Solanum lycopersicum: one gene and its partners. Each later gene encodes a partner of the first gene's protein in a complex. Links are inferred from orthologs where the notes say so. Each region holds a gene or a part of one and is shown in the gene's direction. Other genes may lie near its edges. The genes, in order: small ribosomal subunit protein cS23-like, small ribosomal subunit protein bTHXc and 30S ribosomal protein S13.

The links.
Region 2: small ribosomal subunit protein cS23-like (region 1) and small ribosomal subunit protein bTHXc share a complex: the UniProt entries of both Arabidopsis thaliana proteins name them as parts of the 30S ribosomal subunit. The link is inferred for Solanum lycopersicum from reciprocal best matches to the Arabidopsis thaliana genes PSRP3/2 and PSRP4.
Region 3: small ribosomal subunit protein cS23-like (region 1) and 30S ribosomal protein S13 share a complex: the UniProt entries of both Arabidopsis thaliana proteins name them as parts of the 30S ribosomal subunit. The link is inferred for Solanum lycopersicum from reciprocal best matches to the Arabidopsis thaliana genes PSRP3/2 and EMB3137.

What each region holds. Positions count from the first base shown.
Region 1 is NC_090802.1:7,166,164-7,169,922, forward strand, and holds the start of small ribosomal subunit protein cS23-like, read left to right. Parts: upstream 1-1,561; 5' UTR 1,562-1,668; coding exon 1,669-1,917; intron 1,918-3,509; coding exon 3,510-3,759. UniProt on the Arabidopsis thaliana protein: Component of the chloroplast ribosome (chloro-ribosome), a dedicated translation machinery responsible for the synthesis of chloroplast genome-encoded proteins, including proteins of the transcription and translation machinery and components of the photosynthetic apparatus.
Region 2 is NC_090804.1:66,172,149-66,175,711, forward strand, and holds small ribosomal subunit protein bTHXc, read left to right. Parts: upstream 1-1,209; 5' UTR 1,210-1,432; coding exon 1,433-1,610; intron 1,611-1,712; coding exon 1,713-1,777; intron 1,778-2,667; coding exon 2,668-2,790; 3' UTR 2,791-2,921; downstream 2,922-3,563.
Region 3 is NC_090804.1:939,860-943,151, forward strand, and holds 30S ribosomal protein S13, read left to right. Parts: upstream 1-1,014; 5' UTR 1,015-1,093; coding exon 1,094-1,207; intron 1,208-1,594; coding exon 1,595-1,819; intron 1,820-2,433; coding exon 2,434-2,601; 3' UTR 2,602-2,711; downstream 2,712-3,292. UniProt on the Arabidopsis thaliana protein: Located at the top of the head of the 30S subunit, it contacts several helices of the 16S rRNA.

The sequences.
Region 1 (3,759 bases):
TAACGATGAAAAACCTCATTTTATATAACAACCTATTTGGTATGATTGCGTCGTTACCTTAACATTTTCTTCTCATTTTGTCTTCATTTATCATTTAATAATCATAGTTCATTTTTTATCTACTTTTTCACAATAGCTCTAACCTTACCTATTCTCCTTGTAGCTTTATTATTCAAATCATGGATGTACAAAATCATGTAACGAACAAGAACAACACAATCTATCCAAATATTAAATTCATTAAGAATACAACAAAATACAATACAGCAGAGCCAGAATTTTCAGTAAGTGGATTCAAAATACTAATTAGCAGAAGAGGTCGAAGAGGGTTTGACATCTACTATATGTAACTAAAAACTATTTTAACCATGTATAAATAATATAATTTTCCGCCGAACGAGGTTGGGATGAACCTAACTATAAGGTGGCTCTGCCATTGAATACGATACATTATGTGACAATACATAACAATTATTCAAACAAAGTGGAAGACTTCAAAGGATTATTGAACATTTTATCTACAAGTGTATTGTCTCTATGAAGTAGAGAGACCAGCAACAGAATCTAATGGTATATCTCTAAATCTGAACCAATCAATAACATGAAAACTGAATTGGACAACTTACCTGGTGATTGATGTCTCTAACGAAGAAGAAGAAACTCCAATTAGAAGGATATTGAATGAGAAGGAAAAATGAAAAAAATTGAAGTGAATTTAAAGCCAAAAAAGAAAGGGTTATTGAAGATTTACGTGTTTCACGGGTTGACCCGTTTTAAAGGACTGTTTGGTGTGGCTGCTTGTTAGAGTCGCGCTGGCTTTCACGGTTTTCTTTTGGGTTAGTTTACTCCAAAACTACACTTTTTGACCATTTTGTATTTGGCCTCCTCTTTTCTTTTTTTTCCTCTTTATTCGATTCGAGTTAATTATTCTAACATATTTTATGTTATTGCGATTCATAGATGATATTGATATACATTATAATATTATGATATATTGATTTATTTTACGAGTTTTGATCACTTTATCAAAAAAGAAAGACTTCATTTTAAAGGGAGTGAAGGGTATTTAAAAGTGGAGTCGTAAATATTCTAGGTCCCTTCTTAGCCGCTGAATCACTATAATTTCTGGTTTCGTTAAACCTTTTACCATCCATTGTATCACAATCATCTTAAGGATAGAGAACCAAGTTTATTTTTTTCTTTGAATAAAATGTCCAGACATAGAATAATCATTTGAGTAAGCATTGTTGTTACAATATAATCTCATTGTTAGAAATATATCCTATCTAAAATTATCCAAAAATTGTACTCCAATCCACAAATAACATATAATTCAGAAATTTTAGGCTATTGTTGCAATTATATCGGCCTAAATTAGCCTGAAATTAGTCCAAATAATTAAACAATAACCTAAAGTATAGTCCCAACACTAAAGTTTGCTAAGTTAATTTTTGGTGGATATTCGATAGTTTATAAAGTTTAGTATCATGATCCGTCACTTTTAAAGTCGAAATCCGTGATATTAGGCTATCATTTAAATAGATTTACCCAACCCCAAAAAATCCGGGTCGGGTTATATTGTGTCGGATCTTTTTTTCTTATCTAGACTTTGATGAAGAACACAACACAATGACAGAGAAGCTCTGAGTTTCCCCTTAGCTGTTGAAAATGATGTTATCAATGGCTACACAGCTTACTGTGAATTGGGTTCCTGCGTTTTCTTCTCAAAACCAATTTTTTTCACCCAAATTTGTCTTCTTTACAAAGGGGCAGTCTTTTTCTCGACGTTCTAATGTCTCAGCAATCGTACCCAGAAGAAATCTTGGGGGTTTTGCTACTTCAGCTGCGGCTGCCTTGAGTTTTGCTGAAGAAACATCGACCCGTGATTCTATTTCCTCAGATTCTCTTCAAAAAGAGGTAATTTTCACTCTCTGACTTCCCTCTTAGGTGTTGTTTGGTAGAGTGTGTATAAGTATCAGTAATGCTGCGATTATTTCCTATCCATTGTTTGGTTTCTGTTTGTTAACCAACCAACACCTGCACAACTGGCCCTTGTTTTCGGGGGCGAGCTTAGTGCACCAGGCTGTGGACAGTACATGGTCCAGAGGGAGCTTAGTGCATCGCGCTGCCCGTTATAATCCTTTAGTTTTTTGTTGAATTGTGGGAAGTGAACCATCCTCTTAATGTTAAAAGATTTTGCATCCAAGGGTGTGTCTTAATTGTCAATAGAACTAGAATGAAAAAGATTACAATGGAAGACCATGTAATAATCCACCAGAGGCACTATGAAGAATAATATGTAGTTTCTTCCGATTTGGGGATCGCCTGGAAATTGGAATACTAATTTTAAAAAAGAAAAGTTGTAAGCTTAGGAATAATGGGGCAGATTTATTTATAGGAAAAGGGCCAATTTTTCTCTTGAACTATTTGAAATAAGATTACTTTGTTGTCCGTTTCGGTTTTTGGCACAAAAATACCTTTGCCATTAGCTGGCTTGATAAATCACATTCTTACTATGCTATCATCTTTTAAGTTGATCAAAGTGTAAGTTTGTATTCAGTTATATCATAACATTCAATCTCTCCGTACTAGCGTAAAGTAGATATTCGAGTTAACTTTATACTATGGGAACGTTATTAGTATCTTTTTTCAGTTGACAGGAAAAAGGTCTTTCTCGTAAAAGATAGCATTAATTTGTGAAGATTTGCTATCAAGAACAAGTTCTTAATACCTAATCAATATTCATTAATGACCAAGCAAATAAATTTGTTTTCGTTAGGGATGATATATAAAATGTTAAACATGACCAGATGCCTCATTGGTTCCAAAATTTTGTGGGTGATATTGACTTTGTTTAAGGACTGGAGGATAACTTTGTCCCTTTTCCATCTGAGTGGGACAACCGTTAGTGAGTAGGGAAATTTTGAGCCACTTGGCTAACAGCGATGGCATTTTTGTTTCATAAAACGAAATGGAGGACATAATTGTCCTATTTCAAAAATTTAAAAAGCAAAATTGGTCTTTTATCTTTATTTTTATTATGTCTGAAAGGCTGCAACAGATCTCCACGGGTTTGATTAGTTTTCTTTTCCGATTCTTTTTTCTTGAACCAAGTTGATGGATGACGGTTCAAACCAGTGCATCTGTCGTTTTAATACGATGTTGGGTGAATGTCTCATTTAGTTGTTTAACCTGTTAAAAAAAATTGTTTTTATTTATTTTGTTATGTATGCAACACGTCTCCTCGGCTCTGTTTCTTTCTTGGACCAAATTGATGGCTGGTTCTTCGTACCAATGCATCTGTGTACTTTAATACTATGCTGCGTGAATGTCTCAAGACATTTATAAGTTCAATGGTTAGAGACGAACTGCTTTGATTTACATAGTTATGTCTGCAATATCTTTATTTTGGTGTTTGATTCTCATTTTATTTAGTTTTTTAAGAATTTCATAATATTTGCACCATTTTCATTATGGTGTTTGGCTCTTACAATCTGCTGGATGTACAGAAGCTCGGTGTGTTGGTCAAGCCACTGGAGAAACCTAGGCTAGTGTTGAAGTTTATTTGGATGGAGAAGAACATCGGAATTTCACTAGACCAGGTAATTCCTGGTCATGGCACGATTCCGTTGAGCCCCTACTATTTTTGGCCTAGAAAAGATGCTTGGGAGGAACTTAAAGTCATGCTCGAGAGTAAACCATGGATATCCCAGAAACAGGCAATTATTCTTCTTAATCAGGCCACGGATATCATCAATT
Region 2 (3,563 bases), on another chromosome or scaffold:
TGTTCAAGAAATGCATCAAACTAAGGAGAAAAATGGTGAGATTCCCTTATGCTTCTGGTAATTTTAACTACAGAGTGGAGAAGAAGTTCCTCAAGACGTCGATTTAAATCACATATTTGAATAAATACTAACGTGAATGATCGATCTATTGTGTTTTTTTTCTGTAGGGAAATGGCTATATTATTTGTTCTTGATTTTCTGTGTCTAGATTGAGTAGAGTGATTTGCATGGGAGCTGTTCACCACCACCAACAACAACATCTACGGTTCAGTACCAAACAAGTTGAGGTCGACTATATGAATCTGTACTGTCATAGTTCGAGGTCAATTTTGTGGTCGATAATAAGTGAATTGAGTTCTCAAATTTTTGTAGAGTAGGGTATTTCATCTTTTGACTGACTTGTTATTAATATATTTTTGTATTTTTGAGTGAGTTTGGTAAAAAAAAAATTATAATCAATTGGGAATGTCTTGTATGATTAATCATTGTGTTACTTCCTACATTGTATATCAACGTACATTTTTTTCTTTTTTCTTGTCTTTTAAGAAATATTAAAAATATTTATTTTTTTACTAATTTACTGTTATAATTATTTTTCATAAATTCTATTTTTTGTGTCTTTATCTGTTAATAACAAAAGAGGAACTTTACAATATTTATATTTTTAATCAAAAAGAGTCGATTTAAGGTGCAAAATGGAAAAAAATAGAATTAATTTTTTAATTTGACAAGTAATTTTGAATAAATATCTTTGTTAATGTAGACAAGTAGTCTGTCATAGAGGTGTACTATTATCTCATTACTTCTCTTAATTATTATATATGTTAAAATTTCTTTATGTATGTGATGAAATCTAACTATATTTATACTCCCTCCGTCTCATTTTGCAATTTATTTGTCTATTTTCACACATAAAAAAAGATAATTTTTTTTCTTATTATATTCTTATTTAAGCTTCCTGAAAATTTTTAAGTTTTAATTCATCTTTTTCGAAATCATAATTAATAAGGGCAAAATTGTAACTTCACTATTCTAATTATTGCTATATTAATATGTTTGTCATTTCTAAAATGGACAACTAAATAGGAACAGATAGAGTTTGAGATAACACTATTATTCCTTATTTCTCGTTCCAAACAATCCTTTTCAGGTCTCAGTTTATTGCTTGATATACTTTTACATAAAAAATAATTGATCTTCTGATAACTTGAATTCACAATTTTAAAGTTTAAAATGAATGGTATTTACCATCCAAGTAACTCTTAACGTTTTTTTTTTTAAAAAAAAAAAACAAGGAAAAATAAGTGAATTTTACCTTAATTCAGGGGTATTTGAATAAAAAAAAGACAAAGGGCACATTATCTAGAAACAGAATAAGAAGCTATAGAACCACCACAAATAAAATCTCAATTCTATCAGTTGAGCTGCTGCAATGGCGTCGTTGTTAGTTGGTTCAGTTCCTATGAGTACTGTTCAATCCATGGCTTCTCTTTCTCCTAATTTATCATTCTCTCGTTCTCACTCCGTCGCCGGCAGCGTTTCAATTACGGCGGCATCTCCTTCACCATCAATTTCGTTTTCGTCTCTCACTGATTCAAATCTCCCATTGGGTACGAATCACATACCTTTTCGAATTTATTGTTTGTGAAAATTTTGTGATGATTGAAGTTTCAGTTCGAGAAATTGAAATTTTGATTTGATTTCATTTTCAGTTTACTGCGGTAGAGGTGATAAGAAGACGGCGAAAGGCAAGCGGTTCAATCACTCCTTTGGCAATGTGAGTTTGTATATTTTGGTTTATTGCAGGATAAGACCTCCTTAATATGATTTAGTTTCAGATACACCCCTGTATATTTTATAAACAAACACTTACCTCCTCTATATTAGGAGAATCCTACACTAACATTCTAGTTTGATACGTGGAATAAGAATAATAATCTCGAAATAGAATTTGAGATTAAATTTATTGCATATTTGAGTTAAAGGTATTGGCTTAAAATAACGAGTGTATCGAAGATGAATAAATAATTCCATGAGATATTTAATGTATTTATGCCTTTAAATTTTAGAAAAGAGAAGTATGTGTTTTGTTGAAATTGATAAATAAGATATCAACACAAATTACTTAATATGAATAATTTTTTAACTCATATTTGATTAAATGAATGTTAATTCCATATAAAATGATTTATAGATTCACTTGGAATAAGATTATTGGTGCATAAGGTTTTGCATAATTAATGCAGGAGTTTAATGCTTTTAATATTATAGAATTTTATACTGAGATTCAATTGTTCATACATTTAGACGAATTGACCCCTAAAAAGTTTTGAAGTTTATTTTTGATTGCAACCTAGATGCATCTCGACTAATTTTATCAATAGATGGGATAAATTACCTAGTGTTATTTTGTCTCTGATAGAATTTGAACCTGAAACCTCATGATTCTCGACCCTCTTCGTTAACCACCAATGTTGATGATAGATTCAAAATAGTCTGTTAAATATGCTCTAACCAATTTTTAGTACTTTGAAGTTTAGAGTGTTATCATCATACGTTTAACAATTTATGTTCGTTAGATTTGACAGAAATAGTGAAAAAACAACAGTTGTTTCGACATTTTTTGTTGTTATTTTGAACTGATTCCGATGGTATGAATTGGTTTAGGCAAGGCCAAGGAACAAGAAGAAGGGAAGAGGACCACCTAGGGTTGCAGCACCACCAGCAGCACCAAAGAGAGATCCATTTGATGATGGCCAAGTCGTTAAAATTGAAATACATGACCCATAGTTTTCTCGGAGGAGCAATTTCATTTTTATGTAGCTCTAATCTTCTACTACTTTGTTTATTTCATTGAAATATCGATTAAGTTAATCATTTGGACTGAGATTTCTAGTTTGCTTGAAGGGTCTTCGTTTAAATGCTCTTGTGTCCTGTTAAATTATGCATTTTGGTTCTAGCAACCTTCAGTAGACAAGTGGTAATAGTCACTACTTTAGCTATTGAGAAAAGTGAAAAGCTTAGAGAACCCCACATTCCTTATGGGTTGAAAACCACGAGGTTTTAGGTTCATATACTAGCGGAGACAAACACATTAGGAGGTCTTTTTGTAGAGTGTATAAGAATAGTAATATATAGTGTATTACTAATGCTGGGATTAGTTATGTTGGAGCTATTTCCTACCCACTATTTGGTTTGATATATTATCAAGGGCACTTTGGCCTCGAACAAAGAAAGGATCAAAAAATGTCATAGCTAATACATCCTACCAAATGACCCCTAGGTGGTTCTTATTTAGACCTTCGTGGATAGAATTACTCCATATCTGTGCTGGTTGGAGGTAACCTTTACCTCGAAGAATTAGTCAAGATGTGAGTGAGCAAATCCAGTCACAAAAAAACTTCTTTTGTTTGGGTCACCAAGTTTGTCTGCGTCCACTATACAATCATAAACCAGCTTTACAGCAGGACACAAGTTGGATAAATAGAATTCACATACATATTGGTTGAAGAAAATGCTGATTTTGATGTACAGGTTAAGCTAAGGACAAATAACCAACTCTT
Region 3 (3,292 bases), on another chromosome or scaffold:
ATTTTGCAATTGGAAGGTGTTTTATTTTTAGGAATTTATAAAGTAAATTACTCACAACTCATAAGAATCGTTTGAAGTACCCATTAAGATGTAATTTATAGGATTAGTAAGTCATGAAATTTATTAGTTATAATCTTATAATATTAAAATTACTAAATTAATGGAGTATTAAAATTTATAAAATTCTTTACTTTAAAAATAGGTTCTCTCTAATTTTCTCTAAAATATTCTTCTTGTTCTTGCTTTATTATTTTATAACCACTTCTAATCTTATGTTGTTTATAAGAATTTTTTATTGTTGCCCATGAGAGATCTTTATTTTTATGCCTACAAAATTTTAAAAGATCAATTTTCTTTTTATTCAATTGGTAAGTGATCATGTAAATTTATTTTCAACTCGCATTTCTATCGCCCCAAATTTAGGTTAGGCCTTAGATAAAAAGAGCGATATCAGAAATGAAATGTAGAGATTTCTTTGTAAAGCTAATATTTTCTTCATTTCAATTAGATGTAATACGAAGGCTACAATTACATGTTACAACCAAAACATAATATGAAATTTCAGATGTAAAATAGAAGTAATGTGACGTGTAAAATGTGTAGAGTACTGATATAATGTCTAGTTATGTTAAATTATTAATAATATTTATAAAGTGCATAGTAATAAATTACTATCGTCTTAATGAGTTATCGATTCATCCAATAACCAAATACTAAAAATTGATACCTAATCAAAAACCCTTTATAGATCCGTTAAAAATCCATTAACTCAATAATTCAATAACCCAATAACATTTTTTTAATAGGTTTATTGATCGATTCGATTTTTCCACATCCTTATTGGGAGGTGACAGTATGATAGACATCGGTGAATTTAGTCGAGTGCATGAAAACTAGCCCGAATACCATATTAATAAAATAAAATTTAAAAAAAAAAAAAAAAGAACAACCGGGGCTCCATATTAGCAAACCAGGTCGAAAAGAAGAACTCCATTCCCTATCCAATTTTCCCCAATAGGATAAGAAAAATAGACCAGCAAAAGGCTCTATCTTCTTCCTTCTTCAATTTCTTCATCAATCAAGATTTTCAACAATGGCGCAAACACTAGCAACTCCTGTACTTCCTTCTCTTTCCCTTATCTGCAACACATCTTCCATCTCCAAGCACAGTTCCCTCTCTTTTTCTACTCCCACATCTTTTCCAAAGGTACACTTCACTCCCTTCTCTTGAAATTTGCAGTAATCAAACATGGAGTTTGCTGAAGTTTACATTTTTTGACCTTTTTCGTGTAGGAATTGGAATGGGGTTTGTCTTTTTTTTTCTCGCAATTTTCTCAGTAACCAAACATGGGTTTTGCTAAAGATTACTTTTTTTTTTACCTGAGTAGGAATTGGAATGAGTTTTTGGATTTTTCGAAATTTTCTCAGTAACCCAACATGAGTTTTTTTTGCTAAAGTTTCCGTTTTTTTGAGGTGGGATTGAATTGAGGTTTGCTTATTTTTCATATTTTTGGACTTTTTTGAGTTGGAATTAAATTGGGTTTTGCTAAATTTTCCATGATTTTGAGTTTGAACTGAAATGAGTTTTGTGTAGACTGCAGGTTTGGTTATAAAGTGTGTGCGTGTGGGAGGAGTGGAAGTTCCAAACAACAAAAGAGTTGAGTTCTCTTTGCAATACATTCATGGAATTGGCCGCACCACTGCACGCCAGATTCTGGTAGACCTTCAAATGGAGAACAAAGTGATGAAAGACATGTCGGAAGAGGAACTTATCACTCTTCGTGAAGAAGTCTCTAAGTACATGATTGAAGGAGACCTTGTGAGTTTCATTGCTCTAATTTGTACTCATTTGTTTTCGTTCCAATGTGCATATCCTTATTGAAACTTATATGCTTAGGTAATTTGATTTCGATATCTAGTTCATGTAACTTTGCTGTGGTTGCTGTTTATTTTAGCTCTATAGTTTAACTTAATGCCATTTGGGGTTCTAAGAAATTTAATTCATTTTGTCTCAAGATAGGAATTGAACCAAAAAAACAATATCTTAAACCAATCTTTGGTCCAACTTTTACATGGAAAGAACCATATTTGAGCTGAAACTGCATTCTACATATCTTGAGATTAAAACCAGAAGATCGAAAAATCTTCTTTACTTTCTTAAACTTTGTGTCAAGTCAAATCCGGACAAACAAATCGAAACAAGGGGAGTTATTGTTAGGTGGGTATGTAGGATCATGGCTTCTATATGCATCACAGCCTTATCCCAAATTAAACAGTTCTTATGGAAATGTATTTCAGAAGAAATCGATAGCTTGTTTAGCAATTGGCAATGTTGATTGAGATTCTTGTGTATAAGGTTGTTTGTTTGATTGATGCTTCGGCTTCCTATTTGAAACGGGAAAATTGATTACATACTTGTGGTGTTGGCATCAGAGGAGATTCAATGCTCTTGCCATTAGGAGGTTGAAGGAGATTCAGTGCTATAGAGGAGTAAGGCACATCCAAGGATTGCCTTGCAGAGGACAACGAACAAAGAACAATTGCCGTACTTTGAAGGGCAAGAAAGTAGCAATTGCAGGGAAGAAGAAGGCACCTCGTTAAATCAAGATCGATTTTTCATTTCTTTTGGTAACTAACTTGTAAAAGTTACACTCTATATTCCTATGGCAAACTGTGCATTTGTTTGTTATAAACAGTTTTTTCCATTGAAATCATTTTTCTACATTTCAAGATAAGAGCTTTTCAAGAAGAATGTTGATGCTTAGGCATAATCTCTTCCTTAAATCTTGTTAAATGTGTTTCATGTGGAGTAATTGCGAATTTACGTTATTCTGATTGGATGATTTGGTTGACAGGAGAAAGGTTTGTTAAGTTACGTTAGGTGTCATAATAATTGTTGATGTAACGACCTATGAAGTGCAGTCCCTATCTATGAGCCTTGGTTTAAGCTTCAAGTTCAGTAATGTGTTTGGGCCAAGTATTTGCATTAATGTGATACCAAAGTTTTACAATTTGAGTCATAGCATTGTTAATGTAATGACTCGTTAGGTCATTTTGAGAATTAACTAAAAGCATAGAGTTTGTGGCACCTTTTTGTCACATGCATGAGCATGAAAGTTAAGTCCCACCCCTTTAGTACTCAAGAAGGTTCACTTTTCTCAGGTTTCTTGAAGACCATGACTTCTGTTTTTCAATAGTGATGATGTTCAGATCAATTTACACGTATTTCACTACTTACTTGTTACCTCACACTAGCATTATTGACGACGATGTAGTCTCTATCATTTTCAAT